Linked DNA regions of Caenorhabditis elegans. The protein of the gene in region 1 purifies or fractionates together with the protein of each later gene. This does not show direct contact. Each region holds a gene or a part of one and is shown in the gene's direction. Other genes may lie near its edges.

Region 1 (6,693 bases):
CAAGAAAAAAAACGGAAGAAGTGTCATTTTCTGTCTCCTTAAACTTCATATCCATAACTTCATCAAATTTCATGCACATGCATAAATTTGCAAGTATGCGCGGGAAAAAATAACTCTTCGTCTCCTCTCACAAGAAAAATGTATCATCTATCCCCACTCCGTATCGAATGACTAGGGAAAAAATGAGACTGCTCAAAATGATGCAATTGGCGGTGAGCTTGTCTCGGGGCAGAGCACATGAGAAAAAGGTCTTGTGTCTTTTCTTTTTTCCCCTTATTTCGGATTATGCTCGTAGTGTGTGTGTGTGTGCGATAGGATCGGAAACCGATTCACGGGTAGAAAAAAAGGAATGAGATACTAATTGAGTCGATCGGAGATCATTCTTTTTTTGAACAAAAGAAATACACTTAAAGTTCAAAGAATAACCCTTTTCGATATGAAGACGTCAGAATACTGAATATGAATTCGTAATTTCCATATTTATTCCTATTGCCAATTTATGGCTTTAAGTCGTTCAAGTAGGGTGTCCTAGAGGCTTTACTACTGGAAAAGTACGAAGGCAGGCATCCAGTGACTGTTTTATATACCTGAAGACGACCTACAATAGGGCAGAGTAAAACATCATTGGACAATTCGGAGAGCTGCAAAATCACAACACTTTCAGAAAAAAACCAAAGCCAGTCGATGGTTCCTGAACAAAAAGGGTAAAGTTATATAGCAACTTCTGCCAGGGTGGCTATATTCTGCCTACCTACTTGCCTGCACTATATTTTCTGTTATTTTCAGCGGTATAGACTCGATACGTTTGATCTGTGCTGAATTTATGTCCTAAAAGACGTACATTGTCTGGCTACAATATGCTCTGACGCTTGGGCTCATTTTTCTCCGAAACGGGTGGTTCAGTTTTTGTAAAATCAAATGACAGTAACCATAAAAAAGATCCTAATTTTGTAGAGTCATTATTGTTGTTCGGTTGAGCACATTTGTACTGTTTGGATGCACCATGTTTAGCTCACAAAATTATTAGAATTTAATTCTCTAGAAAAACTGCGATAATTTGTAATTTGTTTTCCAGAATATCGAACTTTAGGAATACCACAGGATTCCAGATTCTGACATTTAGATTTCCCCTTTTCAACTTGTTTGCGTGTACACATAAATTAGAATTTTCTCATTGGCTTAAGTCGATGACGATGTCCATCGCCGTTAATCCATGAATAATTCTGCAAATTTCCTCTTTTTGCTTGACTTTTGATTTATTTTTTCCTTCTTCCGACAAAAAACAAAAAATTGAAAAAAAAATTAGGAAAAATATTTGTTGGGGGAAATTGTAAAGAGAAAATGAAAAATACATGTGTCTTTTTACAATTTTCAACTTCCATTCATTTTTCTTCCATCTCATCCATCTGATTTTATGTCATTTCTTCTCGTGTTCTTACATGAGAAAATAGTTGGCAAATTAAAAGAGATTTAGAGAAATCAAAAGAAAAAAAGAGTTCTCGAGAGGATGTCAAAAACAACTGAAGTCAGAACAATATGATATTCTATTATGAGAAGAAAAAGAAGAAGAACACATATAACTCGAGAGAACACAAAAAAAACATACACAAAAGAAGAAAGAAAACTCATCAAGAAGCAGAATTTTTCAGACAAAAAATAAATAAATTGATCTCTGTTTTAACACCAATTGGGATTTTTAATTTGCAAACCGGAAACAAAATAGCTTCTTAATGTGAAGATCGGAAATTTGAAAATTTGTGTAGAATTGATATTTATTACCATGTGACTAGGAAAACCCCCTTATTGTCAGCAGAACAATTTTATTACTTTTAAACTTGAATTACAATAACCCATTGGTTAGAATTTTAAGGATCGAAAATATTTTTCCATGACATAATAAAGTTCAGAAAGCACACTTGAACCCAATCAGACTTCCACCCACATTACCAAAAAAAAAGTCCAAAAAAAGAATGAAAAGTATTCTATTTCCAGGAACACAATCAGAAGCGTGTGAAACGTGTCGTCGTATTCGTTTCAATTGGAATGACACTAATCGCATTAGCTCTTGTTGCTTTCTCGTTAGCATTGGGAAGGAAGATTGATCTGATGGGTACGTTGAACTTTTCTACTGAGCTATCAGAAAATATTCTCCCATTTCTAAATCTAAAATCTCCTTTTTCGAAAAGTTTCCCGTTTGACCTATTTTTTAAAATATGCCTACCTACCTATATCTCCGGCGATCTATTTGCCTTGTTAAACACTCATACATTAAGTTAACTAATAAATCGTCTTACAATGCAGACAATAGGCAGGTATGTAGGCAGTAGAACTCTAGAATTTTTGTTTTGTTGTTATATTCCATATCTGAAGAGCATTTCAAATTTCTTTTTGATTTTTCAAACTGCATAAATGACGTGATTTGAAGTGGCTTTTCACAGAGCATTTTATGCTCAAGTGGGAAAAGATGAAATATCGAGATGATGATGATGCCTGACGTCAAGATGGGGTTATTTATTGGATTGGAAGCAAGAAAAAAAAAGTTTGCGCTTCATAACTCTTAGTTCCTTATGATGCCCTCAGCTGGGAATCTTAAATAAGGGAATGTCTTGAAACTAAAAACCGAAATTTTATACTTAAAAATATTTTTTTCAGTTGAACAAAAAGTGGAGGAACGAATGGTAATCTACTCGGTGCATGGAATTGAGCTCACTGAAACGAGGAGTTGAACATTTCAAATTGTTTTGTTGCACATATTTCTCATGTTAAACCATTTCGGGTTAATTTTATTCCTGTTTTGTGTATATATTGATATGATAAACAACTTTAAAACGAACTGCAGTGTACATTAACATGGTTATAAAATGCTATTGATATGAGAAGTTTTTTTTGTTATCAGTCAAGCCGAAATTTCGAAACTAAAAAGCATCATAGCAACGTGAACTTCCAAAAAAAAACATTTAAAAAAAACGAAAAAAACAAAATTAAAACTCAGTTCCAATTTGTGTTTATGTATTGAACACAATTATCACCGATTTACTTCATTTTTAAACATCATCCACTTAAATTGGTATAGTTATGCTAGAAGACAAAGGTGAGTTATCTATAAAAGAAGTTTTGAAATGCCTTCCAATTTCAGAAAAAAGTCCTGCAAACTGGGCTGCCTGGTGCTTCGGACTCATCTTGGTTGTGCTCATTTTGATAGTCACTGGATACATGTTTGTGGTGTATCTGAGATCTCAACGAAAGAAAAATCAGTTGGCTGATGAGACTGGAGGGATTGAGATTGAAAATAGTATTCGTGATCCGGTGGTTATTAATAACTCATTGGCTTCTAGAAGTTGTTCGGAAAACAAGGTATGCCAGGTTTCTCTATGTATTTTGTTGTGGTGCTACTTCAAATAAAGATCAAACTAAATGGCGTAATTTCCCAGCTTCTCACTCCAGCATATTGCCAATTCTCTGCTGCTTCTTCTTAGTTACAGAAATCTGTCAATCTTAGATTTATCCTCTAACTTTCAGGTCAAAAAACAATCGCCTGAATCAACGGAACAAGACGATTTTTCCAAGACGACTGTTGATGAGACCATCAAGGAAAAATCTGAGAAGCAGCCGAAGACTTGTGCACAAAAGCCGAAAGTTCCCATTCCCAAAGCTTCCACGCCAAAAACTGAAAAATTGGTATCCAAGGAGCCAAGTACGGAAGAATTATCGGTAAAGAATAGCCTAACGGATTTGAAAAATGAAGCAACAAAAATGGCAAACACTTCTTCTTCTGCAAATAGAACAGGAGAGATTTCTGTCGAAATCGTTTCTCCGAGTAAGTATTTCCAATGTCTTCTGCCAACTCATAATTTAATTCCAGAGCCAACCACCGCAGTTCAAGCTTCAACTCCTGAAAAACCAATGTCAAGTGCAGAATCTGCGATGGAATCCTCGATTGGAAGTGATATTTCGACTTACATAGTCTCATCAAAGCGAAGTGAAGTGAATAATTACAACATGATAGGTATTCACTGATTCATTTCCAGAAAAAAAAACTAATTTAAAACATTTCAGAAGCTGGTCGAACTCCGCCAATGTCATTTAGTGAATCATATGCTCAAACTGCTATCCCTACAGCAAACACTCCTCCAACTGTGGTTCATGTCTCGAAACCATCTTCTGAAACATCCGTGTCAATTCCACCATCTTCTGCAGTCAAAAAGTAACTCAAATTGTTTGTGTATTAAGAATAAAATGAATTATGTGCAATTTCTATAACACATTACCAAATAAAAAATTCAATTGGGTAAAAAACTGTTCTTCCTTTTCGCATTCAGAATAGATTTTATTGTTTTCTGAATTCAGACTCAATCATCACACTGGTAAGGAGTTTATTTCATTTAAATAAAATTTTTCATAAATTTCTGTCGTATCAAGTGTAAGTAAGTAATAAGTAGTATATTGGCAAAATGGACAATAGAGATGGAATAAGAGTAGGTCAACAAATAAGGCCAGATGGTGATATCTTCCTATTTAAATGTACTAAAGGTTCCGGGAAAGAGCTCAAATACTTTCCTGGTAAGAATCGATTCTAAATTAGCAGTCTTTTCTTGCGCACCGAGAATAAGGCCAACAGAGTAACAACCACTAGCCAATTCATCCATCTTGTACCATTTGTTTTGTAGCTCCAAAATGATTGTCCCATTTTTTCCTATTCTTTCTCTACCTGAATATTCTTTAGAAAAAGTGCTGAAACATATGGATCTATTGGGAAAGTAAGTTTTATAGTGTTTTTTGTTCCTATTATATATTAAATGTTTTGCAGATTGATGTTGTCAGCAGTTTCCAATAAAATGAAGAATTTTATTCGATCGTGCAAAGTAATAAAAATAAAAACATAGGTTCATGTAGGTGTTAGATTTTTGATTGATTTGTCAGGCTATTTCACATTCTGCCTTTGTGGCAATGGTAGTTTCGAAATAAAATGGCTGGATTCAAATTACAAACAATGTACGAAAGATTGGAAATTAGAAGGATTCAGTGCAATAAGTTTTCTTGGTCACATTTTGTTTGTGTCCAACAAGACTGAAGTGGATCGTATTGATGTTACCAAAGGATGGGTAATGCTCGAGTTTATGGAAGAGTTTTTAAACGAATTGAATGTTTCATTGTTTGCTGTCCATAATATCGCCAACAAAAATCTAGTTTATAAGTTTTATTATCCAAAATACACAACCTAAAAAACACACTCGAGCAAAAAAAAAACAATCACATATATTTAACTCTTTCTATTGTTTCCAACTGCCTCTGCCAACTTGTCCAATTCGGAACGCCACACAGATTTCCAATCTGCAGATTCAGCTGCTTCAAGCTCAGTTCTCCGTCGTGATTTTCGTTCTTCCAATCTTTTCATTTCATCAGAAGTTAGTCGTGAGACCGGCATTTCAAGAAGGTATCCGTAGTTTGCCTGAAAATTCAGATATTGAAAGTCTTCATAATTGATTAAATTTACTTTTTTGGAGTTCTTAGCAATAGTTGCCATAGGATCAACTCTGAAACCCATTTCCTGAAGTTTTTCTTCCAATTGATTACGTCCCATTGATCGTATCTCAATAGTTCCATTGGTCACCATTTCGATGAAATTGAGCTGAAATTTTCTGATTTCAGATTTCTTTTAGATATTTGAAAACGATACCTGATTTTCAACATATATCAGTTTTGCTTCACATTCCTCTTTTTGAATTTTCAGCCGTTTTTCATAAAGATCTCTGCGAACTTCAAAAAATTCGGCAGCGATTTCCGAAATATTTCCGAATTCTTTCAATTCTCCATTTCTATCAAACAACACTCGATTTTCTGTTAAGCTTGTCCGAAGTTTGAAATAATTCAGAAGATCCGAGTTGCTCTTTTGTAGAAATCGTGACGATTTCTTTCTGTCAAGAGTTATTCGAAAATGTACTCGTTTTTCGGTATGCCGTTCGGAAAACTCTAAAACTGGTAATGTCTCCACAATTTTCGACAGCTTCTCCTTGTATTTTGAAGTCCAGATTCCAATTGGTAGTTCCACAATCTCAATGGAAAATGTTGAAGCATTCTTTCGTTCTGGCCGTATCAACTGAAAAATATTAATTTTCATAAATTCAATTTTTTTAAATTTCGTACTTGAATCTTCCCACTGCTGATAAACTTTGTGGGTGTAACTACTTCAAGTTTTCCTCTGAACTCTTCATAAAACGGCGGTATTTCATATTCCGTCGAGATCGAATCAATTTTTCGCCTAATCATATCAATAATATCGATTGGATTTCGATTTGCAATTTTAGTTGACCATCCAGTACCAATACCTTCAGTTCCATTAATCAGAATAAGAGGGACGATTGGGCATAACCTGGAACAGTTTATAATTTGTTTTCTAAGTTGAAAGTTAATATTACGCAAACGAAAAATTTTGCGTCAAAACTACGGTACCTGGTCTCGAGACGACATTTTTTTGTTAAATACAAAAAGTGTGCGCCTTTAAAGAGTACTGTAATTTCGAACTTTTGGTGCTGCGGAATTTTCATAAATTTTCCATATTTTTCAGCGGTGCTGTATCCTAAAAAATATGTTGATAATTTTGAATATAATGATCAAAATTGCACTTTTTCAAATTTCGAGTGTATTTTTTGGAAAAAAGTAAAATTTTAAAATTTATGAGTTTTTCAGAACAAT
Region 2 (9,462 bases), on another chromosome or scaffold:
TATCGATTTTTTTTCGATAATTATCGACTTTTCGGGTAATTATCGATTTTCCCGATAATTATCGATTTTTCCGGTAATTATCGATTTTTTCCGATAATTATCGATTTTTCCGATAATAATCGACTTTTCCGATAGTTATCGATTTTTCCGATAATTATCGATTTTTTTCGATAATTATCGACTTTTCGGGTAATTATCGATTTTTTCCGATAATTATCGATTTTTCCGATAATAATCGACTTTTCCGATAGTTATCGATTTTTCCGATAATTATCGATTTTTTTTCGATAATTATCGACTTTTCGGGTAATTATCGATTTTCCCGATAATTATCGATTTTTCCGGTAATTATCGATTTTTTCCGATAATTATCGATTTTTCCGATAATAATCGACTTTTCCGATAGTTATCGATTTTTCCGATAATTATCGATTTTTTTCGATAATTATCGACTTTTCGGGTAATTATCGATTTTTTTCCGGAAATCATGAATTTTTCCAATAATTATCAATTTTTTCCGATAATTATCAATTTTTCCGATAATTATCGATTTTTCGGATAATTATCGATTTTTTCCGATAATTATCGATTTTCCCGATAATTATCGATTTTTCCGGTAATTATCGATTTTTTCCGATAATTATCGATTTTTCCGATAATAATCGACTTTTCCGATAGTTATCGATTTTTCCGATAATTATCGATTTTTTTTCGATAATTATCGACTTTTCGGGTAATTATCGATTTTCCCGATAATTATCGATTTTTCCGGTAATTATCGATTTTTTCCGATAATTATCGATTTTTCCGATAATAATCGACTTTTCCGATAGTTATCGATTTTTCCGATAATTATCGATTTTTTTCGATAATTATCGACTTTTCGGGTAATTATCGATTTTTTTCCGGAAATCATGAATTTTTCCAATAATTATCAATTTTTTCCGATAATTATCAATTTTTCCGATAATTATCGTTTTTCCCGATAATTATCGATTTTTCCGATAATTATCGATTTTTCGGATAATTATCGATTTTTCCGATAATTATCGATTTTTCCGATAATTATCGATTTTTCCGATATTTTTTTTCGGAAATGGCTGCCCCATCGCGGTTTGATCTACAAAAAATGCGGGAATTTTTAGCCCAAAAACATGTGACGTCAGCACGTTCTTAACCATACGAAATCAGTTGAGAACTCTGCCGCATTTTTTGTAGATCTACGTAGATCAAGCCGCAATGAGACACTCTGGCACCAAGTGTCTGTAATTGACTTCACGGAAGAAAATATATTTTTATTTAATGCGCAAAACTAAAATTCAAAATTTCGTTTCGACCAATACACCATATTTTAAGCGCAAATTTCAATTCAAATTTTTGCAGCAACCTTTGCCTATTCAATGTATCCCCGCTCAATGACAGTATCCCCCGATGGAAAGGAACGAGTAAAGGTGCCAACAATCATCGGTCACTTCAACGATAAGAAAACCGAGAAGCTGAACGTGACCGAGTACCGTGACATCATCAAAAAAGAAATTCTACTTTATGGTCCCACCACGATGGCGTTCCCAGTTCCCGAAGAATTCCTTCATTATTCGAGCGGAGTGTTCCGCCCGTATCCAACTGATGGTTTCGACGATCGAATTGTGTATTGGCACGTGGTTCGATTGATCGGATGGGGAGAATCAGATGATGGAACACATTATTGGTTGGCTGTTAATAGTTTTGGTAACCATTGGGGTGATAATGGTGAGTTTTCGTGCAAATTGCGCACGGCCCGGCAAATGGTACATCCATACAAATGCGCTCCACTGATAATTTGAGTTTAGCCAGGTTTGGGCGCGTTTTAAGGAAAACGCCTTGGTCCAAAAAATTTAGAATTTGATTTCGGACATTTTTTATATGCATCACAAAAATGTTGGACGAGCCGTTTTTGAGAAAAAGCCCAGGTATACGGTAAACAAATTGCGTACAGGTGCCACTTCCCGGGCCGTGATGCGCGTTAAATATAGTGCTTTTTAAGAATGCGTGTTGCGCAACATATTTGACGCGCAAAATATCTCGTAGCGAAAACTACAGTAATTTTTCAAATGACTACTGCAGCGTTTATGTCGATTTACGGGCTCGAAAAAAAAGTTACAGCGATATTCCATTTTTTCTCATTTTTTGCTTATTTTTATTTAGTATTCTCACGGTGTGTCATTCTGTCCCATAACGGTTTGATCTACAAAAAATGCGGGAATTTTTCGCCCAGAAAAATGTGACGTCAGCACGCCCCTAACCATACGAAATTTGTTGAGAAATCTGCGTATAAATTCCCGCATTTTTTGTAGATCACGCCGAAGTGAGACACTTTGACACCACGTGTATTCTATCTAAAAATAAATTATTTCAAAAATAGAGCCCGAAAAAAAAAATCGACAAAAGCGCTACAGTAGTCATTTAAAGAATTACTGTAGTTTTCGCTACGAGATATATTGATATTTTGCGCGTCAAATATGTTGCGCAGTACGCATTCTTAGAATTTTGTGTTGCCGTAAATAAATTTGGACGTCAAATACAGTGCATATTGCGGTCGATCGGCTACAATATATTTTGCGAGCAAATTTGGAAGTTTTGCGCGTCAAATATGATGTAGCCGATCGGTCATGTTACAAAACACCATATTTGACGCGCAAAACTTTAATTTTGGACAAAAAGTCAGAGAATTAGTATTGCGTAAAAAACTGGCAATTTTTTTCAGAACATTTCTGAAATTTTCAATATATTTTCAAACTTTTCGCGTCAAATATGGTGCATCAAGTCGCGAACCAAATACACTCTAACACGTAGTGCCAGGCTGTCCCATTATAGTTTGACCTACAAAAACGCGGGAATTTTTCGCCCAAAAAAATGTGACGTCAGCACGTTCTTAACCATGCAAAATCAGTTGAGAACTCTGCGTCTCCTCTTCTCCCGCATTTTTTGTAGATCAACGTGATTCAGGCCGAAATGTGACACTCTGACACCACGTGGCCCTAATTAACTCGTAAAAATCACCGTTTTTTTTCCAGGACTCTTCAAAATCAACACAGATGACATGGAAAAATATGGTCTAGAGTATGAAACAGCAGTCGTCTAATTATAATTCGGCAAAAATTTTTTGTAAATAGTTAAATATTGTCCACCTATTTCATCCCCACCCGATTGCATCTCAACTTGTCCCATTTCCGAGAAAAATCAATTATTTATTTTTATTCGGCCATCATTTATTAGCTCCCTCATTCCATAGTTTTTTTTTAATTAGATTTTTTTTGGATGCTAAAATTTGCCATTCTCATAGACATTTTCAATATTTGTGTAAAATAAATCATTTTTCTGGTCTTCAATTGATGGAAAAAAACAAAAAAACAATGCGCGTCAGGTTTGGTGTATTGTGTGCAAACACCGAGCGCATATTTTGAAATTTATTTTTTTTTCGAATTTATTAAAGTTGCTGATTTTCTTTAATTTCAGGCTTAAAAATGTCGGATTTTGTGCCAGAAACCGAGGAAAATGAAGAAGAATCTCAAAAAATCGATGAAATCCATGAAATCCCAGCTCAAGCAATTATCATCGACCAAAGTGAGGAAAATGCTGACTTTATCAATTTTCAATTACTTTTTGCATTTTTTCTAGGTTTTTCTCGACGATTTCTCAACAATAAATGGTACGGAAAGTACGGCGAAGATGGGGATCTTCTGGAGCACATCGACGAGGACTGGGAGCCCGTAGGCCTCGACGAAGTGGAATTTCTGAGCCAACTGTGGTTTGAGCAGGAGGATCAGGAGAAAAAAGCTCATAGGCACTATGATTGGGATGAAGAAAAGAAGGAATGGGTGCCGAAGGCCAAGCAGGAGGAGGTCAATGAGGATTTTATCGCAGAATATCAAGCGAATTACGGGGTTCAGTATGATGATATTTATAAAAAAATGGACGAAGAATTGCAAGAAAAAGCGGCAAAAGCTCAAAAAGAAGATGAAGAGAAGAAGGAGAAGAAGCGGAAGAAAAAAGTTGGCTTGGGAGCCGGGGAAGACGCTAAAGAGGGCTGGCTTGACCTAGGAGATAAGGTTCATGCGGTTTATGTGTCAAATCTTCCGGAAGATATTACAGACGAGGAATTCCAGAAATTTATGTCAAAATGTGGAGTTATTCAGCCGGATATTCGAACGAATAAGCCGAAATGCAAGCTTTACCGGGAGGAAAACGGCAAACTCAAAGGCGACGGAAGATGTTGTTATATTAAGAAGGAATCTGTCGAGCTTGCCTGTAACATTCTCGATGGAGCGAACTTAAACGGGCGGGAAGTGAAGGTTGAGGAAGCTCGATTTGAGATGAAGGGCGATTTTGATCCGGCGAGGAAGCGGCGGAAATTGACTGCGGCGCAGAAAAAACGATATATGGAGCAGCAGAATAAGTAATAAAAAATATTTGGTGAAATTTGAAATAGCTCGTAAATCGACATTAAGCTGAAAAAATGAAAAAAAACCAAAAAAAATCGTATTACGGGAACACAAAATCCTGAGAATGCGTACTGCACAACATTTTTTTTTTTTTTGACGCGCAAAATATCTCGTAGCGAAAACTAAGACTACTGTAGCACTTGTGTCGATTTACGGGCTGCTCGATTTTCGAAATGAATTAAAAGAATTTATTTATGTGATATTGAAATTGGGCAAAAAATAGGAAAATAATACAAAAAAATCTAAAAAATTTATTTCAATAATCGAGCCCCCGTAAATCGACACAAGCGCTACAGTAGTCATTTAAAGAGTAGTTTTCGCTACGAGATATTTTGCGCGTCAAATATGTTGTGCAATACGCATTCTCAGAATATTGTGTTCCCATAATATATCGACGAAAAAATTGGCCCAAATCGTGGATTTTTGTCCGAATTTGATGACAAATGGCTTTGAAAATCACAAAATTTCAGAGAAAAATTTCGATTTTTGGTTTAAAAAAACAAAAATTGAAACCCAACAAAATTGTTAACTTGAAAACCTGCTGAAAATCTTAGAATTTTCAGATTTCACCCAAAAAATACCAGATTTAACTCGAAAATTGCGAATTTTAGGCCAAATTCCTTGCATTTTTCATAGAAAAGATAAACTAACGACACAAAATCAAATGAAATTGACTAAAAAACTATTGAATTTTGTAGAAAAATCCCGATTTTTGCCTAAATTTGCAAAAAAAATATTTTATTTTAGCATTTATTTTTCTTAATTTTCACACTAAAAATTACGAAAAAAGACAAAAAAAATTTTTTTCATTCAACAATTTTTTGGGCTAAAATGTGTAATTTTTGCGGGAAGAATTCGAAAAATTATTAAAAATCGTAGAGACTAACTGAAAATCAATTTTTTAGGGACCAAAAAGCCAACTTTTGCCGATTTTACTCAAATTTTTCCGTGAAAAATCCGGAATTTTTAAATATTATTTAATTGCGAAATTTTACAATTTTTACACCTAAAATAAGGGTAATATGGTAGCTGGTCTCGACACGACAATTTTTTTGTTAAATTCTAAAAAAGGTGTGCGCCTTTAAAGAGTACTGTAATTTCAAACTTTATGGAATTTTTTTTTGATTTTTCAAATAAACTACGAAAAATCGAAGAAAATTCCACAAAGTTTGAAATTACAGTACTATTTAAAGGCGCATACCTTCTAGAATTTTACAAAAAATTTGTCGTGTCGTGACCGGCGACCGTATTACCCTAATTTTTGGTGTAAAAATCGTAAACTGTCCGGATTTTTCACTACGAAATTCAAATTCGAGGAAAATCGAAAAAAATTGGTTGTTTTGGTTCCTAAAAAATATATTTTCAGTTATTTTCTACCATTTTTTAATAATTTCTCGAATTTTTCCCTCAAAAATTACAAATTTCAACCAAAAATTCTGATTTTTCCTTTCCAGAATCTTCGAATGGACGCCCGATAAGCCACGTAACTACCGTCCAAAGTCGGACTGTACGGTTATTGTCAAAAATCTGTTCACTCAGGAAATGATGAACAAGAATGCGGCGTTGATGTTGGATTTGAAAGAGGAAATGACACAAAGTTGTCAGAAATATGGAATTGTTAAGAAAGTCGTCGTTTATGCGGTTGGTATTGAGGAAATTTGTGGAAATTTCGATTTTTGTAAAAAAAATTTATTCTAAAAAAATAAATTAAAAAAAAAAGATTTAAAAAATTTAAAGCTAATTTTCGAAAAATTGAAGCTAATTTTGGAAAAAAAACCGAAAATTTTTTTTTTTAGAAATGTCGATATTCATAAAAAAATATTCTAAAAACGGGATCAAAAATTTTTGAAGCTATTTGTCGGAAAAATTTTTAAAAATGTAAAGCTAATTTTCGAAAAAAAACCCAAAATTATTGGATTTAACAAATTTTCAAAAAAATTGTTCTAAAAAAGATAACCTTTAACATTAAAAAAATTATGGCTATTTTTCGAAAAATTAAAAAAAAACAATTTTTAGCTAATTTTCGAAAAAAAACCGAAAATTTGTGGAAATTTCGATTTTCAAAAAAAATTTATTCTAAAAAAAAATAAATTTTTAACATTAAAAAATGGCTATTTTTCGAAAAAACCGAAAATTTTTGGAAATTTCGATTTTCGAAAAAAAAGTATTTTAAAAAAACAATGAGAAATGGTTATAAATTGTTCTTTCAAAAATTTTTTACAGCTTTTTTTTTCGAGAAATTTAAAAAAAAAACAATTTTTAGCTAATTTTAAAAAAAGTAAAGCTAATTTTCAAAAAGAACCCCAAAATTGATGCATTTATCGATTTTTAAAATAAATTGTTCAAAAAAAGATAAATTTAAAAAAAAAGTTATTGGATTTTTTAAAGTTATTGGATTTTTCAATTTTCAAAAAAAAATCATCAAAATGTATAAATAAATAAAAACTATGGATTTCGAAAAATTAAAAAAAACAATTTTTAGCTAATTTACGGAATTAAAACAACAAAAAATTTCGGAAAATCGAAAATTGTTGGTTTTTTTTTTCGATTAAAAAAATTCAAAATCTTCTGAAAGACATTTTTAAAATTTCCAAAAAAAAATTATGAGTATTTTTCAAAAAACAAATCGAATTTTGATTAACTTCCGATTTTTTTGACATTTTTTGAAATTTGAAAATCATTAATTCAAAAATTTTTATTGAAATAATTCAAAAATTTTTATTGAAAAAAAACGAAAATTTTTGATTTTCGCTTGAATATTTCGGAAAAAACAATCGATTAAAAAAAAAATAGGCTTCTAGTTATTTTTCAAGAATGCTTTTTTTTTGACAAACTGCTGATTTTTTGTCAGTTTCGTCGATTTTCGTTGTAAAAAATCAAAAATTCAAAATTTCTTCTATTACGAGTGCACAAAATGCTGAGAATGCGTATTGCACAACATATTTGACGCGCAAAATATCTCGTAGTGAAAACTACAGTAATTCTTTAAGTGTCTACTGTAGCGTTTTCGGAAAAATTCCACTTTTTTTATTTAAAAAAAAAAACGAAATATTTTGATTTTTTTTTATTAAAAAAAACGAAAAATTTTGATTTTTTATTAAAAAAAACGAAATATTTTGATTTTTTATTTAAAAATGAAAAATTTTGATTTTCCAAAAAAAAAGGCTCCTAATTAAAAAAAAAAAATTTTTTTGAAAAAGTGCAGATTTTTGTCTTAAAATTTAAATCAAAAATTTTTAAATAGACTTTTTCCATCAAATTTCCCCAATTTTCAGAACCACCCGGACGGCGTCGTATCGGTAACCTTTCCAACGACAGAAGAATCGGATATGGCTGTAAAATATCTTCACGGACGAGTAGTTGACGGTCGGAAATTGACAGCCGAGCTCTGGGATGGCCGGACAAAGTTTAAGGTCGAGGAGACGGAAGAGGATGAGGAGAAGCGTCGGAAAGAGTACGAGAAGTATATTGAGGGTGGAAGTAGTGAGACGAAGGAGGAGAGCGACGACGATGATGACGATGAAGCTGAAGATAATTGATTGATCTAAATTTTTTCTGAAAAATTATTTTTAGTTTATACATTTTTCCGAGAGGAGCAACCGATCAATTTTTACCAAAACTATGTTCAAAATCGCCCAAAAATATCAAATTTAGTGAATTTTCGTTTTCATGGATTTTTCGAAAATTAGCTTTAAAAATGTTTGCCAAATTTTTCGACGATATCGCGATATTTTAAAAATTTCGAACAAAAATTGCCTAATTTCAATTAAAATCCCTTTTTTCGAAATTTTCTAATTTTCTGGGCCAATTGGGTCGTTTAAAAAGAAAAATGGCCAAAATTTGAGAGTTTTAAAAAAATTCTAAAATTTCAATCCTACGATTTTCCGGGAAAAAAATTTTCTTGGAAAATTGCTTTTTTTTTGAAAAATTATTTTTAGTTTATACATTTTTTTTCCGAAAATAGGAACAACCTATCAATTGAAATTTTCAAAAAAAAATTAATTAAATTTGGAAGCATTTTCCGAAAAATTGCATGTTTTCGGTTTTCTAGAAAAAAAAAACTAAAAGAACGAAAAATTTCACCAAAAATCAAATATGAAAATACTTTCCTAAAAATCTGAAAAAACCAGAAATTTTCAATTTTCCCTATTCAAAAAAATTCAAAAAAAAAACCAAATTTCAGTTAAAATCCCTTTTTTCGAAAATTTTAAAATTTTCTGCGCCATTGTGTCGTTGATTTGAAATTTTTTTCTAAAAATCCGTGAATTTTTGAAATTAAACAAAAAATTTGAAAAATCAAAAATTATCGATTTTTCAACGAAAAAAATTCAAAAATTTCAATCTTACGATTTTCCTAACTAAAAAAAAATTTGAAGTAACGAAAATGTTCAATTTTTTCGAAAATTTTCGAGGTCATTTAGAGTTTTTTCTGTGAAAATTGCATTTTATATACTCATTTAAATTAATTTTTATATATTCCTTTCCCGAAAACTTCAAAAAAAAAACCCAGTGATACAATTAAAATCGAGATAATCACAGACAAAGTAGGCAGTAGGCAGGCAAAAAACAGGCACATATTAAGGTAATACAAAATTCTGATAATGCGTACATCGCAACACATTTGACGCGCAAAATATCTCGTAGCGAAAACTACAGTAATTCGTTAAATGGATACTGTAGCGCGCTAGTGTCGATTTACGGGAATCTTAAAGAACCTAAAGAATTGTAGGAAAAATGGAGATCCCGTAAATCGACACTAGCACGCTACAGTATCCATTTAAAGAATTACTGTAGTTTTCGCTACGAGATATTTTGCGCGTCAAATATGTTGTTCAATACGCAATTTTAAAATTTCGTGGTCTCATAATAATACACAATTAACTAGTAAATCTACAAAATCTACAAAATTCTCTTCATCAACTCTTCCACAGCTCGATCGACCTGTGCATGAGTCTCCTCGTACGCCCACAGAGAGCACAAC

What was found.
Region 2: the proteins of ZK353.4 (region 1) and cus-2 fractionate together in Caenorhabditis elegans (co-fractionation; one large-scale study listed by BioGRID). This does not show direct contact.

The regions. Positions count from the first base shown.
Region 1 is NC_003281.10:8,386,022-8,392,714, reverse strand, and holds ZK353.4 (uncharacterized protein), read left to right. Parts: upstream 1-3,075; coding exon 3,076-3,354; intron 3,355-3,519; coding exon 3,520-3,817; intron 3,818-3,862; coding exon 3,863-4,006; intron 4,007-4,056; coding exon 4,057-4,208; 3' UTR 4,209-4,249; downstream 4,250-6,693. Other genes in the region: ZK353.10 (Cell division protein FtsL), read left to right, coding at 1,993-2,110, 2,653-2,726; R05D3.12 (Putative DNA topoisomerase 2, mitochondrial), read right to left, coding at 5,261-5,449, 5,495-5,629, 5,678-6,097, 6,145-6,370.
Region 2 is NC_003279.8:650,625-660,086, forward strand, and holds cus-2 (17S U2 SnRNP complex component HTATSF1), read left to right. Parts: upstream 1-3,465; 5' UTR 3,466-3,503; coding exon 3,504-3,603; intron 3,604-3,657; coding exon 3,658-4,435; intron 4,436-5,935; coding exon 5,936-6,122; intron 6,123-7,756; coding exon 7,757-8,020; 3' UTR 8,021-8,962; downstream 8,963-9,462. Other genes in the region: Y65B4A.2 (Peptidase C1A papain C-terminal domain-containing protein), read left to right, coding at 1,384-1,749, 3,054-3,121; Y65B4A.8 (Cytidyltransferase-like domain-containing protein), read right to left, coding at 9,381-9,462.